Linked DNA regions of Lonchura striata. The main gene of each other region encodes a partner of the protein of the gene in region 3 in a complex. Links are inferred from orthologs where the notes say so. Each region holds a gene or a part of one and is shown on either strand. Other genes may lie near its edges.

Region 1 (7,987 bases), on a different chromosome or scaffold from region 3:
TTTCTGAAAGATAATAAAGAGGGAGAGAAAAAAGGAAATAAACTTATGGGTATTGGCAAACAAAGTCCCAGGGGGTTATGAAAAGGGAAGCATTCTTCCTTGAAAACTTCATGACTTCCTTGTGGAAGATCACAGCATTGTCTCAATGTGCCCTATGTCACAACCTGTAATACCCCTCATTTCAGCACAATTGCATTATGACAGCTACTGAAAGCATTATGCCTCCAGCAAAATAAGAATAGGATGCTTTACACATTCTATACCATGAGATGTCAAGTAACAGATGATCCAATGCAAGGCCTTTCTACCACTTGGCCATATCATCACAAGCAGAGACAATTTGAAGCACAGTGCATGGGCAAATATATGGATTTAAAACAACAAATTTATTTGTGTGCAACACTTTGTGTTTTAGGTCCTAGGGGTTTTTCAAAACCTCTAATGGTCTTTAATTTCACACATTGTTAGGTCTAATTAATGGTATTTGGACTGTTCACAGTGATGGTGTTCTTATTTATTAGAAGTAATTGAGAACTTAATTGAGCTCTGCATTCATAGTTTCATGTTTTAAATAACAATTTTAATTCTTCCTTTTGTTATATTAATCTATCTTAAATCTTACTAAAATCAAGAGTAAAAGAAAGACAATGGAAGAGGTGGCAGAGGCAACCAAACAGATGGGTGTTTCCTCAAGGATGGGACCTCTCAGGTAGGTGTCTCAGGTACAGAGACCTTAATGAAATTATTTTATCACTGCTGACCCTCAGTGTTCAGGCCCCATCAGCCACACATCAGAGCCCAGAGCAGGAGTGTACCAAGTTTAACTGCTCTAGAGCAAGACAGAAGGAAAAGTAGTCTTGATTTCAACCTCTTCCTCTTCATGGGCCTTTTTCATCATTGGCTTTAAGTCACTGCATCATTTTGAAGTTTATTTCAGAGGGAAAATAATCATAAAATCATGTGACTATATGTCTTGTGCTGCAAGAGGGTATGACAGCAATGTAAGCATAATCCTGGACACAGGCAGCTGGATGGAGCAGCATTGAAAAAAACATTGAAACAATTACTGCCCATCATGCCATGCCAATTCACACAACAAGAAGTACCAGGACATTTTTTGTAGCTTTTATCTTTATTTCTGCTGGAGGCTTTGCCTCCCAGAGAAAGGAGCTGACTGTGTCACAGCTAACAGAGGAGGTTCCCACAATGAAGCTTTGCCTTAGACTTGAGGAAGTCAGATAATCTGGTTTTATTTGAGTAAATTCTCAGCCCATGTGTTGTTTCAGATCACATTGCTACAGCAGTCTTAAAATGGGTCAAATAAAACTCCCACACAAAATGATGCACCCACACAATTGCATTAACCCATAATAAGCAGCATTTTACAAACTGAATTATAACTGTCTTTAAACTGATATTAAATACCATTTTATAAAATCATCTCCTGCTTAATAACAATTAACTGTGTACCTTAGACCCACTGAGAAACCTCTGTTGTCAGTTACCATAAAGGATATTAGACTTGTACTACTACCAGTTACTCCATTAGTGCCCCTGATACCTCTAAATGCTTAACCCCACAGTAAACTTATATGCCAGCCTGATATCAAAGGATAAAATTTATCTCCTTTTTCTGCTTTGAAAACATAGGAAACAGTGCTTTAAAAGCCTATTGAAAAGATGCGGTATTTAGAACTCAAGATACAAATATAAAAGTTCACAGAAAAGCTGTTATTCAGTCCTGATGGCAATGCTGGGGGAGCAGAAGGATAAATTATATGATAATACACAATCTACTGCTCTGTCTCCCTTCCTGGGCTGGCCCCTGTGAGCATGGCATGAATCACAGCCTAAAGCCCTGCTGGCTCAGACACTACCATACTTGCCATTGCAGGATGAGGTGCCAGTGGGAATGCAGTGCCACTGCTCATGCCAACGCCGTGTTTACTGCACATGCCTCAGCACTTCCTTAAAAACAGCAAAGCAGCTTCTTGTTCACTGAGAGATCAGAGCCAACACAAACTGAAAGCTCTGCCCATGAGTGTACCAGATGCTGTGCTGCTTTCCCTCGAGCCAGGAGAACTCCAGGCTCTACCCCTCAACATCCTGCTGGGTACAAGTAATGATGTTGAATCTGACACAGCACTCTGCTCTGGATAGCACAGGGCTAGATAGATAATATTTCAACAGGTAACAAGCTAAAACTGCAGGTTGGGAAATTCATGGAGCACTGGTTTTGGTGTGAGACAAAGCTTCACCTTTGTTAAAAGTATTATAAAGCAGATTCAAAGAAATTAACTCTTGCCTGTGCCTGGCTCTTTTTTCAATACTGTCATGACTGGGTGAGTGAATGACTCCAGGGTGTCCCCCTGGTCAATTTTGTGGCACACTCCACTCCCAACTTTTCTCAACAATTTCATATTCAACATCACCTCCTTTGAAATAGGGACCTGCAACTTACAGGAAAAAACATCTGCAGACAGTTATCTGTGCAATGCAACATCTTGAGGGATACAAAACATTCCAGAGAAATCAAGTACCCCTTTTCCAGCTCCAGAAATCCCTGAGGAATGAGCCTTTTTATATTTGGCATATCACTCTGAAAATCACTACCCAAGCTAAACAAAATTTAGGTTTAAAAAAAAAAAAAAAAAAAAAAAAAGCACTTAATTCCAACAGAAATTTAAGGTACAAGTAGCTGGCACAACAAAAGCTCTTACAGGAGGCTGGCACTTTGTCTTAATCTCCAGAGTGTCTGATACCTCTTCAGGTAAGAGCCAGAGGGACAAATCTGCAGGTGATAGGGCTGGAGCCAAACTGACCATGCAAATCCACACATCACAGAATAGGCTCCCTTCTCAAGTCACACTTCAGATAAAAGCACAAAAGTCATCACAGCAGCTCAGACTAGATGGCCATGTGGCTCAGTGCCTTAACACTGACAGTGTCTAAAAACAGATGCCTCGAGGAAAGCACAGGAACGGTGTGTGTGTAATAACCTTCCTTAGCTTCCATCAGCCTGCAGTTTGGCTCTCCTGAGAAAAGCAGCACCAAATCCCAGAATAACTTGAATAACTTTAGGGAATCAGAGCTACCCTTTCAAAGACAGCCAGTCCAGCCATCTGAACTGGTGGAGTTTGTGTCATCTCACAGAACCAGGTTAACTCTGTTACAGCCACTGCTTGAAGACAACCAGCTGTGCAAACATGTTCTGATTTACCTCCCCCAAAACAATTTTAAAAGGGGTTGGTTACTTTCTTGCACAATTAAAAGATGAGATAATCACTAGTTTTCCTTGCTTAATTAGATTTTTTATACTATCTCATGGATTTTACCCGATAGATAAGATTGTACCCAAGACTTACCAATACTGGTGCCTACCTTTAACAGCTATATGTAATTAATGGAGAGCAAAGGTTACTAGTGATAATTACATGTTGATTATATGACTAAGTGAATGCAATTCCTTTACAGCTACTTTTAAACCTTTTGCTTTAATTACTTTCCTGTTATATGAGGTTATATTCCTTTATATAAATATTCTGTAGCAAATTTAGTAATTTAGCTCAGCGTCTTAGATACAATGTTTTTTCTGTTCAAACCAACAGATACATAGGTATTTGTGGAGAAGTAATTCCCCCCCCAGCTACATAGTGAACTTACATATTGAGAAATCAACAGAAATTCTGGATATTTATGTGCTACACTGCCTCAGCTTTGATTTTGCTGTTCTAAAATATCAGCTCACTCCATACAAAAGTTCTGTCTTAAGTCAGATTTGAGTATAAATTGTTTGATGGTACAAAAAAAATGCATTATTAGGTATGGAAAAAGTCATAATGTACTAATATAGAATTTATTCACACAGAAACTCTTTGCCTCAAAATACTTCCACACTGACAGAAGTTATAGCACCCAAGAGCTGCAGTCACTCAGTAGCATGAACAAAAAAAGACTCCATGATGTACATTTAGATTGAATAGTAAGAAAAACATTTTCACTGAAAAGGTCGTTAAGCATTGGAAAGACTGCCCAGGGAAGCGGTAGAATCGCCATTCCTGGAAGTGTTCAAAAGTCTGGAGATGTGGCATTTGGTGACATGGTTTAGCGGTGGCCGGGTTGATGTTTGAATTCGGTGATCTTCGAGATCTTTTCCAACCTGAAGGATTATGTGATTCTATGAGAAAACATAGAGCACCTCGGCAACTATTGCTCTGTTCTCCCAGAGAAATCAGGTTGTAAACAATGTCTTTTAACGGCGGAATGTTGTAAAGAAAACGTTTTCATTCTAAAGCGTAGGAGAAAGATCAGCAGAATATGCTCCGCACTCTTGCAACTCCTGTACTTTAGTTTCAACCAGAGAAGCGCTAAAACGAACCGTTTATGCTGCACTTGAAAGCCCCCTGAATCTTCGGGGATTTAGGAAATTGATTCATTTTTTTCATATTTAAATAACAACGAGCCGAGTCGCTAGGGAATACGAATGCATGCGGTGCGGGTTTCTGCGCGCCTACCCCCGGCGCTGCAGCCACCGAGGGAAGCCCGCCATGGCTGCGGCACCCAGCACGCCAATCTCCGGGGAAACCATGGAGGAGATACTCGGCCCCTCCTCCGGGCTCCTCCGGGCGGGCAGGGCTGGCGGCTCTCTCGGAAGCCCTGGCTGAAAGCTTTTTAAGCGGGCATTAGCGCCGGGGAGCGGCGCTGGGCGGGAGCGCGGGCCGGCCGCCCCGCCGGGGCTCGGGGCTGTGAGGGAAGCAGACGTGGTGCTCCGGGGAGCGCTGCGCCGGGAGGCGCGGGGGCCAGCCCACCTCGGGCAGGAAGCCCTGCCTCCAACCCCGCCGCGGCTCGGCGGCCCGCAAGCGGTTCTCCTCCCATTTCTGCCCAGGAGGAGTCAGGGCGGACTGTGAGGGACAATGAGTTGGGGCTGACAGAGGAGCTTCTCTACAGTGAAGCGGCGCCATCTTGCTTTACGGACGGAAAGCTATGGCGGGCGCCATTTTGCATTTGGCCGAGAGATGAGACGCGCCTTATTGCATTCCGCCTCCTGGGCGCCGCCATTTTAGGTTACGGCATAGCCTCCGCCTTCCCAAGCGCAACCTCATTGGGCGCCGCCATTTTGGCTTACGAACAAGACGGCGACCCGCAGGGGTCCTCACCCCCTCCCTTCCTCCCTTTAGGTGCCTTCATAAAATGCCCGTCGAGAATCCCCTCTTTTTTCGCCCCGCTCCCAAGATGGCGTCGATGCGGGAGAGCGACACCGGCCTGTGGCTGCACAACAAACTGGGCTCCACGGACGAGCTGTGGGCGCCGCCGAGCATCGCCTCGCTGCTCACGGCCTCGGTCATCGACAACATCCGTCTCTGTTTCCACGGCCTTTCCTCGGCCGTCAAGCTCAAGCTGCTCCTGGGGATGCTGCACCTGCCCCGCCGGGCGGTGGATGAGGTGAGAGCCGGGGGGGAGTCGCAGCGAAGCGGGGCGCGCGTGTGTGTGAGGGGGAGAGGTCGGGGATGGCGTGAGGGGAGAAAGGGGGGCAGTGCCGGCACAAGTCCCCCGCCCGCCCTTTATTTTCCACACGGCGCTGCGGGGAGGGCGAGCCCCGGGCTGCCCGCGGGGCGAAGCCGAGCGGCCGCAGCCCCTCAGGGCAGGGGCGTGGGGTAGCGCTGGTCCCCACAGCCTTCCCCGCCGCTCCCTCGCAGCCTTCCTTGCAGGGGCAGGAGTAAGTGAAGAAGGTCTCCCGACTCGCTTCCTCGGTGCGAGGAAGAGCGCCGAGATTCCCCGCGATAAGGGAGTGAGTGGAGTGGGAGCTTTGCTGCTGCTCCTCCTCTTCCTGCTCTTCGGGGATTCCCTGGTTGGCACTAGGTTTTTGAAAGCAGTTTGGACATGAAACCCACTGTGCGACCCACAGGGACTCATTGTAGGGCTGTGTTTGGGGTGCCTTTAAGGGAAGAGGGCTTTTCTGAGGCAGTGGCTGTGCGGTGGCTGGGAGAGAGGCAGGATCGTGTAGGAGCAGTCGTGTATGTGTTCAGCTTCCTCCACTCCTTCCTTAGTACTGGCAGCTGTGCAGGTGTCACAGGTCGAGCATCTCGCTTCAGGGAGGACAGCAGCAAGTGCTGAAACTTTGGGAGTGGAAGATCTGGGGTCTGCACTGAGCAGTGCTTTTCCCCACCCTGCTGCAGTCAGGTCTTGATTGGGGAAAATTGCCATGCTTTTTGTTTCCCTCCCTTTACCTTTTTGGGAACAGTTGGTGCTTTCCTCTGTTGTCCTACCCCAGTTAATAAACTGGCTGGCTCGAATCTGAGCTGGCTCTGCAGGCTTTTCACTTGGCCCTGGACCATACCTCATCTGCACCTGGCTTATTCTTACCGGTAGGCAGCTGCAGATGTTTGGGGCAATAGCTGGAGAATGTCTGAAAATCTCAGGTTTCTTTAGCCGGATTGGAGGAATTCCTCTCCTGCTTCCATCATGTAAAGTAGTATTTCCTTGTGACGATCATGGAAGTGGTGTGGGGTTAGTTTTCACCTTCCTCTGTAGAGTATCCTCAGCTGTGCTTTCACCAGTCTCTTTCTTGGCTAAGATACAGCTGCTGCTTAAGCTTAATATACATGTATACCAGGCAGGGTGTAGTATGTAACTTGGATTGATGTGCGCTCAGTTTTTGTGCACTTCTAGGCTGAAAATGGGCAAGCATCACCTTCAATAAATAATTTAGTGTATGACAGTGTTTGTCTTGCCACATGTATCTGTATGATTCTTAACTGTGGTACACTGGTGTCACTTTAAAAAAAAAATCTAGTTCAGCATGTTTATGCTAATTTTTAAAATATGATAGTCATGTTTAGTGCCTGTCCAGTGAACAAGCTGTCATCCTTGTGGGTGATAAATGGGGTTGTGTTCTGGACAAACAAAATAATCAAGGCCAGAAAGGGGGATGGGAGCTCGTGTGAACTTGTGAGTTTGCAAAATTCTTGTGACCTTAGTGTGAACATCCAAGTAGCAAATTAGTATGGCAGTGTTTAGAAAAATCAGTGGTGTTTTTAGATTGAAAAGAGCTTCAAAGAGCTTAAGGACTTTCATAAATAGCACTCATGGCAACTCTTTGAGGGAGCAGCATTCAAACAAACAAACTGAAATAATTTGAGATGCTTCAAGAGTGTTCACTAGGTGAACGTTTTAAACCAAACCCGAGGAAGAGCTGCCTGCAGCTTTCCTGGATCTGTGATTGTGTTAGCCGTGGAGATGAAGTGTGTGTAGAGAAAAGCCAGTCAGTGTGCCTTTTACTGTGTACTTAAAGTGATCTGTTGTGTTCCAAATGTAAAGCTCTTGTTCCTGCTGTAAGAAAATACTGTGGGATTTTTCAGTTTGGTAGAGTTAATGAATTCAATCATAAGCTTAATCTTTTATTGTAAACTGATGATGATTGATTGAGATCTACCCTTAGCATCTTTAATTGTTTCAGGAACATGAGATTTTTTTGCCTTAAACTGGGTGAAGGGCCTTAAATAAAGGTTAAAATAGTAAAACTCCTGAGGCAGAAACCCTTAACATTGTTGGTAGGCCTGTTATTATTATTACAGGCTTCCTTCTATAGATGGTAAAAATAGCTGATGTAACCAAACTGCTGACAGAAAGGACTGTTGTCTTATCAGATGCTCATCATTTGTGGTTAGTTTGCTAAGATAGTTTTATTTGTGCAAATTTGTCACCTAACTTAGTATCAAAATATTCAGTGTTTTAATTGTCAGAGAGTACCTTGCACACAATATCCAGCAGATAGATAAATATGTCTGTGTCCAGAATGGCTGTGCTGTGCACATCTCTCTGCAGCAGCCTTTGCTTGTGTGTTGGAAGTCACCCCCATGTCTGAAAATGATTAAACTGAACTATGAGAGTGCTTAATTATTCTCTTTGGAAAGTCATATGTCTTTGCCATGCCATGTGCCTGTGTCTGTATCGATCGAGTGCGAGAAGCACCGAGCTGGCATTTGGA
Region 2 (8,061 bases), on a different chromosome or scaffold from region 3:
AAAGGAACTGTTTACCCCAAGATTTCCAAGAGCATTTGTTCAAGAGATGTTCACCAGATCTTCAAAAACCAAAAGCTGCCATAACCTGGTTTTGTCCCAACCCACAGATTCTTTCTTCTACCCTTCTGATTCTCCCCCCATCCCCTCAAGGAGAGTGACCAAGTGGAGGTGTGGTGCTGAATGTCCAGCTGGGGTTAAAGCACAACTCTGCAGTGCAAACCTGGAGTAAATTGCACAAGGGCATTTACACCAAATGATTCTGAAAGCAAAACAAGCCTAAAACAAACCCTCATGTAACAGATGTGCTGTGCTCTCTGAAATTAAAACTATACTGCCTTAATTTAATTCAACTTTTCCGGATGCCAATTAACTACAACTTTCTACATAGTTTTTTTTTAAAAAAAGCAACTTCAGTTGAAATACATCTACTAAAAAAAGTCCTAAGAAAGCGAATTTAACATATCAGCATAATCAAACTGATGTGGTAAGAGATGTTCAGCCTTCAGAACAGCTGAAGTGTATTAAAACCAGACTGACCACCAGAGAAAAAATCTGCCCTTTCTTTTTTTGAAGTGTATAAACAACTTAGAACATTCATCATTTATTACACAACAATTAAAATAATTCCTCCTGCTTTTATCAAAATGTGCAGGAGAAAATGGCCTGGTGCTTCCTGCAAAGAGTTTGTTCAGCTAAACAACTGCAGCAGTGAAGATGGGCAGAAAAAAACAGCTCAGGTTATTTATGTGATGGTTGACTGAAAGCTGGTAATTCCCCTCACCAGCACATTGTGAGGGTTTCCTTGTCCTTACCTCTCCTTGACGTCTCGTTTTGGGAGATGGACTGAAGAAATTTTGCAAGAAGGAAATATCATTGCTGAAGAGAATGTTCTCCTTCTCCAGGATGTATTGCTTCAGCAAGGGTGACACCTCATCCCCAAAGAGAGCCTGGTTGTCCTGCCAGATCTGCCTCTTCACCTCCACAGCACAGGCCTTGTACAGGTCCTTATCAGCCATCACCAGCTTCAGCTTCTTCTCAGGGACCTGCAATCCACAGAGCAGGTACAGAGTGAGCAGCACCTCACCTCCCTGCCTGTCCATGTAACCATCTAAATCATGGAATCAGAGAACCTCCTGAGCTGGGAGGGACCCACAAGGATTATCCAGCCCAGCCCCTGTCCCTGCCCAGACCCCCAAAATCCCACCCTGGGCATCCCTGGCAGCGCTGGCCAAAGGCTCCTGGAGCTCTGGCAGCCTCGGGGCCGTGCCCATTCCCTGGGCAGCCTGGGCAGTGCCAGCACCTCTGGGGGAAGAACCTTTCCTGCTCTCCAGCCTGAGCTGCCCTGGCCCAGCTCCAGCCGTGCCCTGGCTCCTGTCCCTGTCCCAGGGCAGAGCTGGAGCTGCCCCAGGAGGAGCTGCAGCCCCGGGGAGCTCTGCCCTCAGCCTGCCCCAGCTGAACCATCCCAGTGCCCTCAGCTGCTCCTCACGGGCCCCTCCACACCCTGCACCATCCTTTTAACATTTTCCAACAGCTTTAGATGTTTTTTCATCTTGTGCCCAAACAGCCCCAGGACTCAAGGTGAGGCAATCCTCTCCATGCCGTGATCCCCACCTCAGGCAGTCTGGGCATTCACCCACCTGGTGTAGCAGTAGACCAGCCCTAAGAGACTTCAACACCCAAATCACACACCCTTGATTCTTTCAAAGAAGAAAAAAGGTCTACTTTAAATCTCCAGTGCTGAGATTTGAGGTGATGTTTCCAAGCTCAGTAATTTACTGAAGTTCCAGCAGTGTTTTGAGTCCATTACATTGAGTGCAACATGATGCTTTTAGTAAGGATTTTTGTTTCACAGACCTGATTCTCCCTCCTGCCTACTTTTAATTGCACTTTTCAAGCCTTACCTTCCACTTGTCAAAGATTTGCAAAACAGTTGTGGAAAAATTCACCTATCAGCAAACTTGACTTTTTAGGAAGCTGCATGGATTGAAGAAAATAGGGAAATAGTCTCGTCTGATAATGAAAATGTGAAAGGCTTTTTGAATTAGTCCACTGAGCTATTAGCAGATACAAGAATGTGTTGAATCCTCAGTCAGTTCTTGACACTGAAAAACACACTTGCAGAAGGAGCAGAGGGAGCAGAGCCTCCCTGCCAGAGGCACAGCAGAGACGTCACACCAGAGATGTCACACCAGAGATGTCACACCAGAGATGTCACACCAGTGACATACCACATCACACCAGGCCAACCAGTGCAGTGGTCCCACCTTGGGCAAGTGCTTCATGACACACATGACCACGGGCTGTATCGAGGGCATCTTGACCAGGGAAAAGCTCTTCTCTAGGAGATCTTCCAGCTTCTTGTATCTGAAATCATGGGAAAACATGAGACTAGGTACCACGCAGCAGTAAAGGAACGAAGTGGCCACCTCAAAGCCACTGGAACTCGGACCCTGAAGAGCCCAACTCTCCTTTAGAGAAGTCACCCACCCACTGTATTTTCACACAGAACTCCCAGGAGGCTGCTGACAAACCTCTCCTCGACCTTCCCCTCCAAAGCGATGGCAGAGACTCTCTCCAGCAGCTTCTCCCGCAGCTCATCGAACACGGACTGGTGGAACTCGAGCCGGGGGGTGCCGTGAAGGTCCAGGAAGGGCAGGGCATACTGCAGCGAGGGCAGCAGCACCCCGTTCTCCGTCTGCAACACAACCCGCCGAGGGAATGACAACGGCACTCGGGATTACAAATACAGCCAGGAAAAGCCCAGAGGGCGCTGGGGGCCGTCCCGTGCTCGCTGTCCCGCACGGCCCGGCCCCACACGGCCCCAGCGCACCTGGAACTGCTCGATGGCCTTCAGCGGCTCCGTGCAGTTCGTCAGGGTCTCCTTGAGGTCCTCGCCGTTGGCCACTCCCAGCTCCTGCAGCCCCGCGTACATGTCGGCCCGGCCGGGCGCGGGGGCCGCTCCAGGTGCCGTTCCCGGCCCTGTTCCCGGCCCTATTCCCGATCCCGATCCCGGTGCCGATCCGGTTCCCGGTCCCGCCTCAGCTCCCGCCCCGGCTCCGCGCGGTCCGCCCCAAGCCGCCCCGCGGGCGGGCCCCGCGCCGCAGCACGGAGGTTCCGCCGCACCAAGGTTCCGCGGCGGCTGCCCCGGGCTCCCCGCGGCCCGAGGAGCTCGGTGCGGCTCGGCTGAGCGCCAGGCAGGGCGCATGGGGCTCAGGGAGCCTTTGGACAGCACATGCGATCACGGAATGGTTCGGGCTGGAAGGGATCATAGACGGTCATCTAGCCCCACCTTCCTTTCCAAGCAGGGTCATCCCAGAGCACACGGCGCAGGATTGTGTTCAGACTGTTATAAATGAAAATTTGTCCAGCCAAATTAAAATGAAATATAAAATATTTATTTTGCAATCAAATTCTATCTAGCCAGCCACAAGGAAAGAACAGAGCCGAGCCCGGGGTCAGCCCTGGGTGTGCCACAAGGAGTCAGCCCCAGCAGAGGTTTTCCTCTGTGCCCACACACCTCCAGCCTGGCACAAGCGGTTTTTATAGGGAAAATTCCACCTGAGGCCAAGAGTTCAGCAATCAGTCTTTTCTTCCATTCAGAGCCCATAGGTTAATGAGATTTTCTTTTTTGGGGATGAAGAACAATTCAGTGCCAGGAGTTGGTGAATCCCTTGATGAAGTTTACGGGAACGCTGCATTCCCATGGATCTGCCGGAGGATTTCCATGAGATCCATCCCGGGTCGTTCACGCCATGATCAGCACCTGGGGTCCCCAAATCTCTCTAGACATGGCCCATCCCCATCTCCTGGCCAAGCCACATCTTTTTACTTGTAAATCAGTTTCTAATATACACCCAGTCTCACCTGCGAGGGTGGGGGGCCTAATACAAACGAGCAGAATCTAACAAGTATCCAATATTACACATTTCATACAAGGAATGGCGCTAATTATGTTTACTACACATAACCAGACGGTTCTGGAATATCTCCAGTGAGGGAGACTCCACTCCCTCTCTGGGCTGCCTGTTCAGAGCTTGGTCACCCCCACAGCAAAGAAATTCTTCCCCATGTTCAGGTGGAGCTTCCTGGGTGTCAGCTGCTGCCTCTTGTCCACTGCTGGGCACCAGCAGAGTCTGGTCCATGCTCGGACACCCCCCTTTAGATACCCATACACACTGATGAGGTCCCCTCTGGGCTGTCTCTTCTCCAGGCTGAACAGACCCAGCTCCCTCAGCCTCTCCTCACAAGGGAAATGTTCCAGAGCCTTGGCCAACTTTGCAGCTCTCCACAGGCCCTGCTCCAGGAGCTTCCACATGGTGGGACTCTTGGGAGTGTCCTATGCAAGGCTAAGGGTTGGACTCGATCCTTGTGGGTTGTTATGGACAAATTCAATTGGGGAGGCTAATTATAGATAAATTAATTAACAAGAATTTATTAAGCAAGTGGTATTAAGCAAAAGGCAGCGCTGGGCAGCTGGGGAGTCTCTTCTCTATCATGGTGCACGCCCTCCCACTTTGACTTTTTTTTAATAGTCCTTTTTTCCTTTTTAAACCTTTTTATTTATTACATGGGTCACTTCCAAGTTCCTGGGGGTGTCTGAGGCTTCCTCATGGGCAGACAGCAATGAAAAGAGGAAACCACCAAAAACAGAGATGTGGCCTTTCCCTATTCCTGGTTTCACCTTCAGATCTATGACCAGTCTGTGGACATGAGCAATCAGCCAAATGCCTCAGTGCAAGCAGCCATGGAGTTTTCTTCTGAATTTCCATTTGCAGGGATGAGACTTTGTGGCACTGTCAGGAGAAAGCAGGCGTGTGTTTCAAGAAGCCTGAGCCTTGGTTGTTTTCCACAGGGAGGCTGTCAGAGAGGCTCATGCCCTCAGAAACAAAGTAAATCCAATAACAAGCAGTTTCCCCAGCTTCTAATTTGAAAGCTCACGCTGCCAGATGTGGAATACCAAAGGGATGAGTTTTGCCTGCCTTCTGCTGAGTTAACCCCACATTTGTGTTTACCTCAACCCCGCTGCCTGGGGCAGTTTCGAGGTTGCAGCGGTGCTGCTGCACAGCTCGCACAGGGATGGGCACAGAGCCCTCCTGTTATTTATGGGCAGCAGGGATGGAAGGGAAAGCAGAGCTCCCTGACACATCACAGCCAGGCCCACGCGTCCCTGTGGTCCCTGTGGCTTGGGGCTGGGCTGAAGTCAGAGCCGGGCCCTGGCCACGCCTTTCTGCTCTTTTTAAAGGTTATTAAAGCAGCCGGTTTGCTGCTCCACTGCTTCCTCTTTGGTGAAAGGAGAACACTCTTCATGTCTTGGCGAGAGCTGCTTCCCCCCTGGCTGGTGATCGTAGCGGGGCTGACGGGCATCGTGCTGCTCTGTGTCTCCACCAAAGATGTGCCCGTGGCCCCACTCAGGACCAAGGTAAGGGCTCTCCAGGGGGGAGACAGGCAGCTAAGCTGGGCTGTTTTGTTGCTTTTGACATAATTTTATTATTGAGCTACTTACAAACCGAGGAGGGAACTGAAACAAGACTGTCAGGACAGGTTGGCGTCTTTCAACATGCTGTAGGTTTTCAAACCAGAAACAAGCCCCCTCCTTTGATTGGTCATGGAATGCGGGCTGGATATGGTCCATGGATCAGTGGAGATGCTCAGGGCAGGCTGAGGGGAGGCAGCCCATGTCAGGAGCTGCCCCAGAGCAACAAGGAACCAGTGGTGTCAGTGCAGGGAAAGAGCTAGGTCCCTCTCAAAAGTCAGTAGGAATGTGCCCCTGAACTGCTGCTTCTGTCTTAAAAACAAATTGTCTTTCATGCCTTCTTCTCTTTGGTCCTGTCTTGATTTCAGTCAAAGAGCTGGTGTGCTCCTCACAGCTGGGTCAGGTCTTGGGGGGTTAATGCTCACCTGCTCTGTCTCTTGATGCTCCCATTGCTGAGGTGAGCTCAGTGGCACACCGTGGTTCCACCCAACAGAAGGAGGCTATCCTGGGTGTTTAGAAATAGCACCCCTCCTCCATGTTCCTCTCAGAAACAAAACTCAGTTAAAACCCCTCTTATTGCTCCTTGTTCTGTCCTTTCCTGGTGTTGAGCTGGGCATAAATGTGGTGATCCCTCCCCTTCTCCCTTGGGCTCTCAGCAGCAGCCTCTAATTTTCTGAAGGAGAAAAAAAATTCCACGTTTCTCCACCAATGCCATTCCTTTCTTCCTCTTCTGCAGCAGCCAACATGTCCCTGCTAGAAATCCGAGCTGTCACTGGTGTGGGAGGGTGCCAGCAGGCTGGGGCAGGGAGCTCCAGCCTCCTTCCGCATTGCTGCTCCAGCCCAGCCCCACCAGCCCCTGGCCTGGCTGCCAGGACTGGTGCAACTGGGAGCTCCAGGAGGGCAGCAGGCAGCCAGCCTCACTCAGAGCCTGCAGCCAGCTCTGGCTGGTGCTGAAACCCTTCTGGTGGCATTAACATCAACCTCTCAGGAGGTTTCTCCTCCCACTCAGTCACAGCTCTATTTGTGTGTGAGATCCAGCTTTGACCACGCACTAGCATGCAGCTCATGAGTTTTCTTCCTGTCTGTGTAGGAGATGTCCCAAACTGGGGTCATGTAAGAGGAGCAGAGGAGCCCTAGGTTAGCTCTGGAGCTATTTTGGGTGTGGGGACAGCCAGACCTGTGCTGCAGGGTAGTCCAGTGGCCTCCCCTTGCTCTCCTTCATATTCTGGAAGCAGCAAGGCTTGGTCAGCAGCAAACAAACACTGGGGACAAGGAGACAGAGAGCCCTTGGTTTGGGCAATAGCAGAGCTGCCCGGGGACAAGGGGTGAGCTGATCATGTCTACTGCTGCTGCTCTTCCTGCCAAGACATCATCTCTGTCTCTGAGGGGCTGCTGTGTTGAACAGCGTCTGTGCTGGTTGCTGCAGCTCCTACAGCTCTGCACACAAACCTAAGCCTGTGTCACACCCTCACTGCAGTGGGACATCAAAGAGACACAGGAGTCCTGGGTTTCCTGGGAAAAGTCAGCTGCAGCCCTCCAATTCCTGCACAAAAGCCTGAGCAAACCAACCAGCAGCAGTTTGAGTCCCAGAATCAGTGGAGAACAGTGCCATCTCCCACTGCTTTAGGACCTGTTTTTCCTGAGCTCCAGGTGGCTCAGCTCTCAGGGGAAGCCCTCTGCCTGGTTTCAGGAGCAGCTCCAGTGCATGCCACTGTAGGGCTGATGTATTTCTGGGCGTTTCTTCACTCCTGCTGTTCCTCATATATATTCAGAAACGCAGATGGTTCCCTGCAAATCCTCATCATGTTCTGGCTTCACCTGCTCTTTGAATGTCACAAGCAAACTCAAGCACTGCAGTGCAGACCCAGAATACCTATATATGCTTGGTAACCCTACAGAATCAGTCAGCATGCATTCACTAGTGTTTTTCAGTAGAATGTTCTGGGGTTCTTCCAGTATGGCATTGTTCTGGATGCTGGCCCATCCCGCACCATCCTGTTCATCTACCAGTGGACAACCACCAAGGCAAACAAGACCGGGGTGATCAGAGGATGCAGCTCCTGCCCTGTGCAAGGTAAGGTGCCCATTTCCTGCTCAATGGTCCATGCAACTGGCATGGGATGGATGGAAAAACAGAGACCTGTGCATGGACCAGTGCCATAAATTCCTTGGCTCCCCCAGCTGTGCACAGAAATAGTAAAGCACAAGTTGCTTATTTTCAGCATAACTCTTCTCGACTGGGTGGATTTAGCCACACACAGTTGCACATCAGGCCCTTGGCAGTAGCAGGTGTCAGGATTTTGGGGCTGCTGCAGGCAGGGAAACATGCAGAGAGGATGTGGCTTGTCTTGATGTGCACATGGATCAGTGATAGAGCCAAGGTTGCTGGAGCTTCTCACCCAGGAGAGGCAGTGAACAGCAATGGAGACAAATCTGACTGCAGGATGACTCCTAGTATCTTCTCCTGACTGTGGAGAAGAGGAGGACTCCTGGCCTCCTCCTGACTGTGCCCTGGGCAGTAAGTGGGGTAGCTCCAGGACAAGAGAGCTGCAAAACTCCAATTCCCTATATCGCATCTGACAGCACAA
Region 3 (7,635 bases):
GCTTTTATAGGACATCAAAATTGGCTACAATCCTACACTGATCTCTATCTCCTAATTGGAAAGCAGAACAATTCTTTTTCCACATAAAAAGGGGGAAAAAAACCAAACTTACAGCAAACTCAGGGAGGTTTTTCTCAAGGTTTTCCTCTCCCCCATCTAAAATTGTTGCCAGAGATGTACGCAGGACTCTGGAAAATACTTCTAGTTGCTGACATGCTGTTGAAACACTGGTTATTTCCCCTTGATACCCAGCATCAGATATAAGCTATAAAAATAAAAACATCACAGAAATCTTGTGTTATTTGCATTTCTATTTCTGATATCCTAACAAATCTAGAAGAACACAGACAATCTAAGTTTCACCTCTGCACACACTGACTGGAATTCACATTTACATTGTGGTTTACAGAAAAGGAAACCAATAAAGAGGTAGCAAAAATAAAGCACAATAATAAAAAATGTAGCAGAGCACACCAAAATATAACATTCTTTTCTTATCACAGCAACATACAAAACTGTCTGAGACATTCCACTGCACCAGAAATACAGAATTTTGAGAGATCACAGGAAAACAAACAAACAAGAAAAAAAAAGAGAAAAACCCCAACAACCTCAACAAAAAATGAAAAAGCAGTACTTCAAACTGGGAAATTACACTTACTCCACCTGTAGCACAAGTCCTCCCACCAAGGAGTCTTTTTACTAATTAGTATTAGCAGGAATACATAAAAGATACAAGCAAGGCAACACCTAATAATTGATGCCAGAACAATTAGCTATCTATGGATATTCTTACTCATTAGACTTAAGTGTAGTACCTTCACAGTAAAATTAAGCATTAAACAATCAGGATGGGCTTCTGCCAATTTGTAAAAAAGATCTCTCCACGTGGTATGTGCTATCATTTGCTCAAGCCAGGCTGGAGTCTGAAAAGAACAGAGCAACAGAGAGAAATTTAAGAATGTTTTGTTGTCAAGATCATAAAAAGCAAGGCTTTTACCTCTCAGCAGTCCAGTGAGTTGTTCTACAGAGCTTTATTACTGTAGAACAACTAATGGGGATGTATTCCAAATTTCCCAGTTCTCTAAACCTCTGAGGACTCCAGTGAGACAGAGCTGGTTGTCTGAAACCAGCTAAAGAGCTTTGAAGATTCAATTTCCCTTCCCTTCACCATTCCATCAGATGAAGGCATCTAGGAAGGATTCTCTGTAGGGACAGCAACAGGGATTGCATGCACACCTCTCCTTCCTCTGTAAAGATGGAATCTGCTTTCCGAGGGTCAAAGTGCTTGATCAGTAAGCTCTTCAAGTGGTTCTCCACAGTCTCCTGAACTTGCATTGGCTCAACACCTGCACAGAAGGAACAAAACACTTGGCACATGCAGTGTGGTACAGTGGAACACAGCAGCGACATCCCACATTTTACAGTGAGAACAGAAATTACTCCAAAATTTATCAGCACAGAGATGAGAGCCATCAGTTCTACTACTGAGCCACGCTTATACAGATTTACAGATTTTCCACCTCTTTTTCCTAAATGCTGAACTGTTTAAGATCTCAGGCAGGTCACAACCTTCCTCTTTCCTCATTAGACACACAAAAAACATTGCCAGTCATCCCCAGGACTCTTACTGGTGTAACAGCAAAATGCAGGGGGTGTCTTAACCAAAAAAGGGATCACCAGGGCTGGGGCACAAAGCCATGTTACTACACAGTAAAATTAATCCTTTTAAATATTGGTTATCAGTAGATTTGGTAGTATTATAAAAAATAACACACAAGTAAAAATGAGTAGTTCTACATTTCTAAAATCAGAGTATAATAATTCTGGTAATGTAATAACGATTACATAATTAATTCCATTACAGGATAAAAACTCTGCTTATACTGTCTACATAACAGCTCCCTTACCCATTGAATAAAATTAAAAAGAAGCTATAATTTATGCAGTTATTTCAACTATAAAACCTTTCATAACATAGTTTGTTGGCCTTTCATCAACATATTGCTTCATTATTCTCCAAGCGGAATAAACCTATTATTATAAAGGATTTAGCCACATACTGGATGATGGCTTTATAACAATCCACTTCCTGTGGATGATCAAATTTGCCAGACATTCAGACATTTCTGACAGAAAATAGACCCAAAATACTCTGTATCTTGTATCATACCTGTCTGAATGAGCCACTCTGCCAGCAAATTGACAGTCTGTGCCACTGCAGTGTAGTTTTCAGAGAGAAGCTGAATTACATTCTCTGGAGACCCTCCTGCTTGGAAATATCTGATAAAAGGATTACAAAAGGACTATTTGAGTCATATTAAACCCAAAATTCAATAGAAGTGTAAATTTAAAGGGAAAACAACAGCACCATTTATAGATTTGCATATGTTTCTATACGAAGTGACACCTATAACACACATCAAATCACACTCACCTCTTTAACGTGTTAAAGATAGACGGTTCCATTATATAATCAGGTGTTGAAAATTTCTTCAGGCACTCCTGCTGCACTTCGGCATCATCTTCTCCCTCCCCATCCTCATCATCTTGCTGCTCACAAGCACAGTCAGGTCAGCCTCCCTGTCCCGTCTCCCCCCACACTCCCACTTCAGGCTGTTTTTGCCCACAGCAGCACACACACCTCGGCTCAGCACCGCAAGCGACCTGCACCCCGACAAACAGCGATTAATAAGGGAGAAGGCACAAAAACCCGCAGGGTTTATCCCGGGCCCGGCGCGGCCCCGGCCCTCACACACGCGGCGCTGCCGCCTCAGCCCGCAGCCCCGGGACGCTCCCGGAGGATGCTCCGGAGCCAGGGGAACGCTCGGATCTGTGCCCGGGGCTTGCCCCGGGACACGCCTGGGGCTGCGGCCATCCCTCGCCCCGCTCCCCCGGGCTCACCGCGCCCCCGTCCGCCTCGCTGCCCCACTCGGCCGCGCTGCCCTCGAAGTAATCGGCGTCCTCCATGTCCGCCCGCGCCGGAACGGGCGGGGCGCCGCAATGGCGGCGGCGCGGGGCGGCGGCACGGCGGGGCGGCTCCGAGGGGAGGCGGCACGGCATGGAGGCGCGGCTGTGAGGGGCGGCGGTACGGTATGGAGGTACGGCTGTGAGGGGCGGCTCTGAGGGGCAGCGGCACGGCATGGAGGCGCGGCTGTGAGGGGCGGCGGCACGGCTCTGAGGGGCGGCGGCACGGCATGGAGGCACGGCTCTGAGGGGCGGCGGCACGGCATGGAGGCACGGCTGTGAGGGGCGGCGGCACGGTATGGAGGCACGGCTGTGAGGGGCGGCTCTGAGGGGCGGCGGCACGGCATGGAGGCACGGCTGTGAGGGGCGGCGGCACGGTATGGAGGCACGGCTGTGAGGGGCGGCTCTGAGGGGCGGCGGCACGGCATGGAGGCACGGCTGTGAGGGGCGGCGGCACGGTATGGAGGCACGGCTGTGAGGGGCGGCGGTACGGTATGGAGGCACGGCTGTGAGGGGCGGCTCTGAGGGGCGGTGGCACGGCATGGAGGCATGGCTGTGAGGCACGGCTCTGAGGGGCGGCTGTGAGGGGCGGCGGTACGGTATGGAGGCGCGGCTCTGAGGGGCGACGGTACGGCGGGGCATGGCGTCCCGGCTCTGAGGGGAAAGGAGCCAGTGTAAATGTGAACTCAAACTGCCCTGCGGAGCCTCCCAGCGCAGCAGCAACCGCACGGGAATTGCAAGGGAAGAGGGAAAAAAGGGATGCGTTGTTCCAAGGGGTGGCTTCTCTGAGGGATGTGTTCTCCGAGGGATGTGCTCTCCAAAGGTTGTGTTCTCCAAGGGTTTTATTCTCTGAGGGATATGTTCTCCAGGGGTTGTGTTCTCCAAAGGTTGTGTTCTCCAAGGGTTTTATTCTCTTAGGGATGTGTTCTCCCAGGGGTTGTGTTCTCCAAGGGTTGTGTTCTCCAAAGTTTTTATTCTCTGAGCGATGTGTTCTTCAAGGGTTGTGTTATCCAAGTGATGTGTTATCCAAGCAATGTGTTCTCCGAGGGTTGTGTTCTCCAAGGGTTGTGTTCTCCAGGGATTGTGTTCTTCAAGGTTTGTGCTCTCCAAGTGATGTGTTATCCAAGCAATGTGTTCTCCAAGGGATGTGTTCTCTGAGGGATTTATTCCTCTTCTGGTTGCCACTGCACACACAGCACTGCCCTCCCTCCCTCACTCCTTCCCTCACTCACATGGAAGCATGAGGGCGATGTCAAACAACAGCAAATTGATAGTGTAAAAAATGCATATTTTGTGATTGGCTTTTTGCAAATATTACACTGAATATTATATGTGTAATGTTAGAAAGTTATGCTGTATTCATTCTCTTAAGTAGTGTGTTAAATATAGTTTTAGGTTCCAACATAATGTTAAAATAGAGATGTGGGAGGAGTTTTTTTTTTAGGAATGAGATACTCGCTTCGAGGAACACCTACATCTTCCAAAGGAAAGGAATTTATGGCTTCTTACCAGAAGAAACTAATTTCTTCAGGCCTTGCTCAGACTCGAAGACGCCATGGGGATTAAAGGAAAGAGTTGACACACAACAGACAGAGTTTCTTGTTTTAAATAGAATGTATGCATAACCATGAAGGATGTATGAATATGCAACAAGTGTATTGTTTTAAGGGTGATTCCTTTGTTCACAAGGGATGCTTTTCGTGACCGAGTGTCCGAGAGCATCCGGACGTCCGTAGCTCTTTGCTTTTTATTGTCTTGTAATTGTCCTCGCTCTAAACTTTATTACTCTAATTGTATTACTATTTTTATAACCATTTTATTATTACTAAACTTTTAAAATTTTAAAAACCAAGTGACGGGTGTTTTTCACAATAGGAATGATGAAATGTTATGGTAGAATAGAAAAGCTGACAAGTAAGAAAACAGAAACCAAAACCAAAACAGAATAAAAGGAGGAAGGGATAACTTTGGAGCAAAGTGGGCATCTCTGGGCAGAGGAGAGGTGCTGTGAGAGCCACATCCCCTGTCGTGGGGCTGTTCTGTAAGCAGGCAGGGCAGCCTGTGACTGCTCCCCTGTCACCCTGTTCTTTTGAGAGTTTTAAAGTTCTTAGAAAAGTTTCTTGTGCCTTCTGTTTTTTACATATTTCTACTGAATTTTCTCACACTGTTCATATAAACAATGATTGCTTTGCATTATTCTTTGTGGGTGGAGAGAATTGATGAACTCTTGGTGTGACCAGTATGGTTGGAGAGGTGGCAGTTTCACCCTCCAATCCAGTCACTTTTGCTATTATATATATATTATACTCTACTATATTATAGATATAGTAGAGTCAGAAAATAAAGTTTGCTTTTTTTTGGTTCTTTTTCTCTCCTTTTACATCCAGCCTGTTTGTGTGAGTAATATTTCGTGTCGTAGTGTGACACTCCCCATCCACAAAACGGGACCTGCAGAGCACTCGCTGTGCTCACCCTGGGACCTTCCTGAGGATGCTGAGCAAAGATAACAGGTCAAGAGGGTCCTCAAGGAAGGGAAGGACAAGGAATTAGATGAACAGGGACGAGTCTACAATGAAAACTGATCACATAATCAGGCCTCGGGCAAGGAGAGAGGCATTAGTGAGATCATGTGAGAAACAGTCCCTCTGTCTCTCTTCAGCTCCAGTCCCACTCTTCAGTTGGATCAGAGTTTCACTGGGAGAAAGGGGAGGGTAAGGCTGTGTTCTGGGATTTGGAGACCAGCCAGGAGTTTTGCTGATTAATTATTTAAAAGGTCCTTTATTCTCATTCTGTTTCTAACTGAAAAACAGTATAAAAAAATGACATGGTCTTCCATGCGTTGCTTGGTAAAAAAGGCCAAAAACCCCCTGCTCAGAAATAAGTTACAGCATCTCCAACAGACAAAATCCTTGTTTAGATGTGGTTTATGTGCTAATCAAGGGATTTGCTGCACTCCAAAGTTCAATACAGAGAATGTACCCCAGCACCTGAGCTGCAGCACAGCAGAATTGTGCTGTCCTGTGCTGCCCTACAGTGGTGAAACAGCTTTTCCTGGAACACTGCTCCCAGTCGGGAGAGCCCGGGATAATGTTCTTTTTGCTCGGCCAGCAGAAAGGAAAAAAGGCTTTTTTTGGGATAAACCACACGGATTGAAGCAGAGCCACAAGGTTTTCCACGTTTTCCACTGCAGGCAGGAGGACAGTGAGGGTATCTTGATGCCTGTGGTCGTTTTTTATGAGGGACGATTTTTATACAGGTAGGAGAATCTTCCCACAACCAACATTTGCTGTGCATCTCCTGGGCAGGACATTGGGATCTGCAGCCCAGATAATTTCATTGTACCAGAGCTCATGGCCTGAAGCACTCCTAGCCTCAGTAAAGCGTTTTCAGAGCAGGCAAAAGTTTTGTTTGGTGACAACAGTTGGACTTGTGGGACCTCAGTGGTAATTATGCTACAAAACTTCCTCCTTAATTGAGTAGAAAATGGGAGCAGTCCCCAGCACCAACTGCCATAAAGAGACAGTTAAGATATTTATGATACAATTTCAGTGCCTGAATCTTAAAACTAGAAGTTTTCCATCTTTATATATTTATATCTCTTTATTTTGATTGCAGTAACAGAAAAATATTTTTTTTAATATATAAAGAATTAACAATACTCAAAGCATTTACTTTCAGCTTCCCTTGAGAAGGAAACTAGAGATCTGTAACAGCCAGACATTTGCTGAATAGCCCTTTGCAGAATTGCAATATCCAAGCTTGCCTCACTTCAGGTCAATAAACAAGAGGTAAAGTCAGATTAAACCAAACACTTTCAAGATATCACTTAAAATGAGATGAAATATGAAAGGTACCAGAAATTGATTTTGCTAACTAAACCTTTACAATTTTGAATGGAAACAATGTTGGTTGTCTCTTGAGTTTAACTGCATTCCCCCATATGGATTTGTGTCTTACAAAGTATCAGTGAAATGTTCATGACTAAAAGCACTTAGATTTACCTGAATGTCCCTGAAAGGATTTATTATGCAGAAAATTAATGTAACAAATTTTCCCCTAAATGCATATTTGACTACATTTTATGTGTAAAATATTCTTGAGTGACAATTTCTATCTAATGAGATTTTGATGAAGCAGAGAGCAAACTTTGAGATAAAGTTTGAGACAGAGAGAAAATTTGGAGCCCGATAAATATCCAGTGAAAGTCAGCTTTGGTGTCTCTGCTGCATGGTGCGAGGAAGCAGTAAAGGCATTCTGGAAAGTGAAAGTCTGTGAAGAAGAGCCAGATGTACAGGAACATGTAAAATTACATTATTTTTTCTTTGTACCTTTTTTTTGGTTGTTATTTAACATAAAAATAAACAATGCTCAAGTTCCAATTCCAACTATTAAAATTTGCTTGATTTTTCACCAGAGTATTTAACAACTGTATTCCAGGATTTGCTGCCTAAAGGGTTGAATGTAATACAGCTGATAAAATCATCCAACTTCATTTGGTTTCTTCCTAAAATATAGAAGAAAAATCCCAAACAGAAGAGCCAACTTCTAACAGAACTGCTTGCCTTTTATTCATATGGTTTTCAAAAATATCCACCCTGGCAGTCTCTGTCATTCCCTCTGCTCCTTGCCCTCTACAAATTCTTTTAGCATAAATTTGTATTTTTGTAA

Evidence for each region.
Region 1: the proteins of NELFCD (region 3) and NELFA are in contact, whole or in part, in a crystal structure (PDB 5L3X), measured with the Homo sapiens proteins. The link is inferred for Lonchura striata from reciprocal best matches to the Homo sapiens genes NELFCD and NELFA. Residues at the interface, in XP_047296144.1 of Homo sapiens: Cys204, Gln205, Gln206, Leu207, Glu208, Phe210, Ser211, Leu214, Arg215, Leu218, Ala219, Ile221, Leu222, Asp223, Gly225, Glu226, Cys241, His242, Gly243, Glu244, His245, Thr246, Tyr247, Leu248, Phe249, Ala252, Met253, Ser255, Val256, Leu257; in NP_005654.4 of Homo sapiens: Leu23, Trp24, Ala25, Leu54, Leu58, Leu61, His62, Arg65, Pro88, Trp89, Met92, Val93, Ile96, Leu97, Phe100, Gly104, Ser105, Leu106, Leu108, Leu110, Asn116, Val117, Asp119, Ile120, Leu121, Glu123, Leu124, Arg125, Lys127, Val128.
Region 2: the proteins of NELFCD (region 3) and NELFB are in contact, whole or in part, in a crystal structure (PDB 8JJ6), measured with the Homo sapiens proteins. The link is inferred for Lonchura striata from reciprocal best matches to the Homo sapiens genes NELFCD and NELFB. Residues at the interface, in XP_047296144.1 of Homo sapiens: Arg63, Ile66, Met67, Glu68, Pro69, Ile71, Phe72, Leu75, Ile89, Gln90, Leu92, Ser93, Tyr96, Thr97, Ala98, Val99, Ala100, Gln101, Thr102, Val103, Asn104, Leu105, Leu106, Trp109, Leu110, Gln112, Thr113, Gly114, Val115, Gln121; in NP_056271.3 of Homo sapiens: Met49, Leu53, Leu56, Val58, Ala59, Asn60, Gly61, Leu64, Lys65, Leu68, Thr69, Leu75, Ile78, Glu79, Phe81, Gln82, Glu84, Asn85, Gly86, Val87, Leu88, Leu89, Ser91, Leu92, Ser94, Ala95, Leu96, Pro97, Phe98, Leu99.

The regions. Positions count from the first base shown.
Region 1 is NC_134606.1:8,449,663-8,457,649, reverse strand, and holds the start of NELFA (negative elongation factor A), read left to right. Parts: upstream 1-4,902; 5' UTR 4,903-5,190; coding exon 5,191-5,442; intron 5,443-7,987. UniProt on the Homo sapiens protein: Essential component of the NELF complex, a complex that negatively regulates the elongation of transcription by RNA polymerase II.
Region 2 is NC_134624.1:4,222,669-4,230,729, forward strand, and holds the start of NELFB (negative elongation factor B), read right to left. Parts: upstream 3,071-8,061; 5' UTR 2,933-3,070; coding exon 2,831-2,932; intron 2,696-2,830; coding exon 2,532-2,695; intron 2,365-2,531; coding exon 2,265-2,364; intron 1,044-2,264; coding exon 813-1,043; intron 1-812. Other genes in the region: ectonucleoside triphosphate diphosphohydrolase 2-like, read left to right, coding at 5,306-5,419, 7,430-7,547. UniProt on the Homo sapiens protein: Essential component of the NELF complex, a complex that negatively regulates the elongation of transcription by RNA polymerase II.
Region 3 is NC_134619.1:3,738,034-3,745,668, reverse strand, and holds the start of NELFCD (negative elongation factor C/D), read right to left. Parts: upstream 3,012-7,635; 5' UTR 2,971-3,011; coding exon 2,905-2,970; intron 2,554-2,904; coding exon 2,438-2,553; intron 2,284-2,437; coding exon 2,174-2,283; intron 1,350-2,173; coding exon 1,240-1,349; intron 927-1,239; coding exon 819-926; intron 266-818; coding exon 113-265; intron 1-112. UniProt on the Homo sapiens protein: Essential component of the NELF complex, a complex that negatively regulates the elongation of transcription by RNA polymerase II.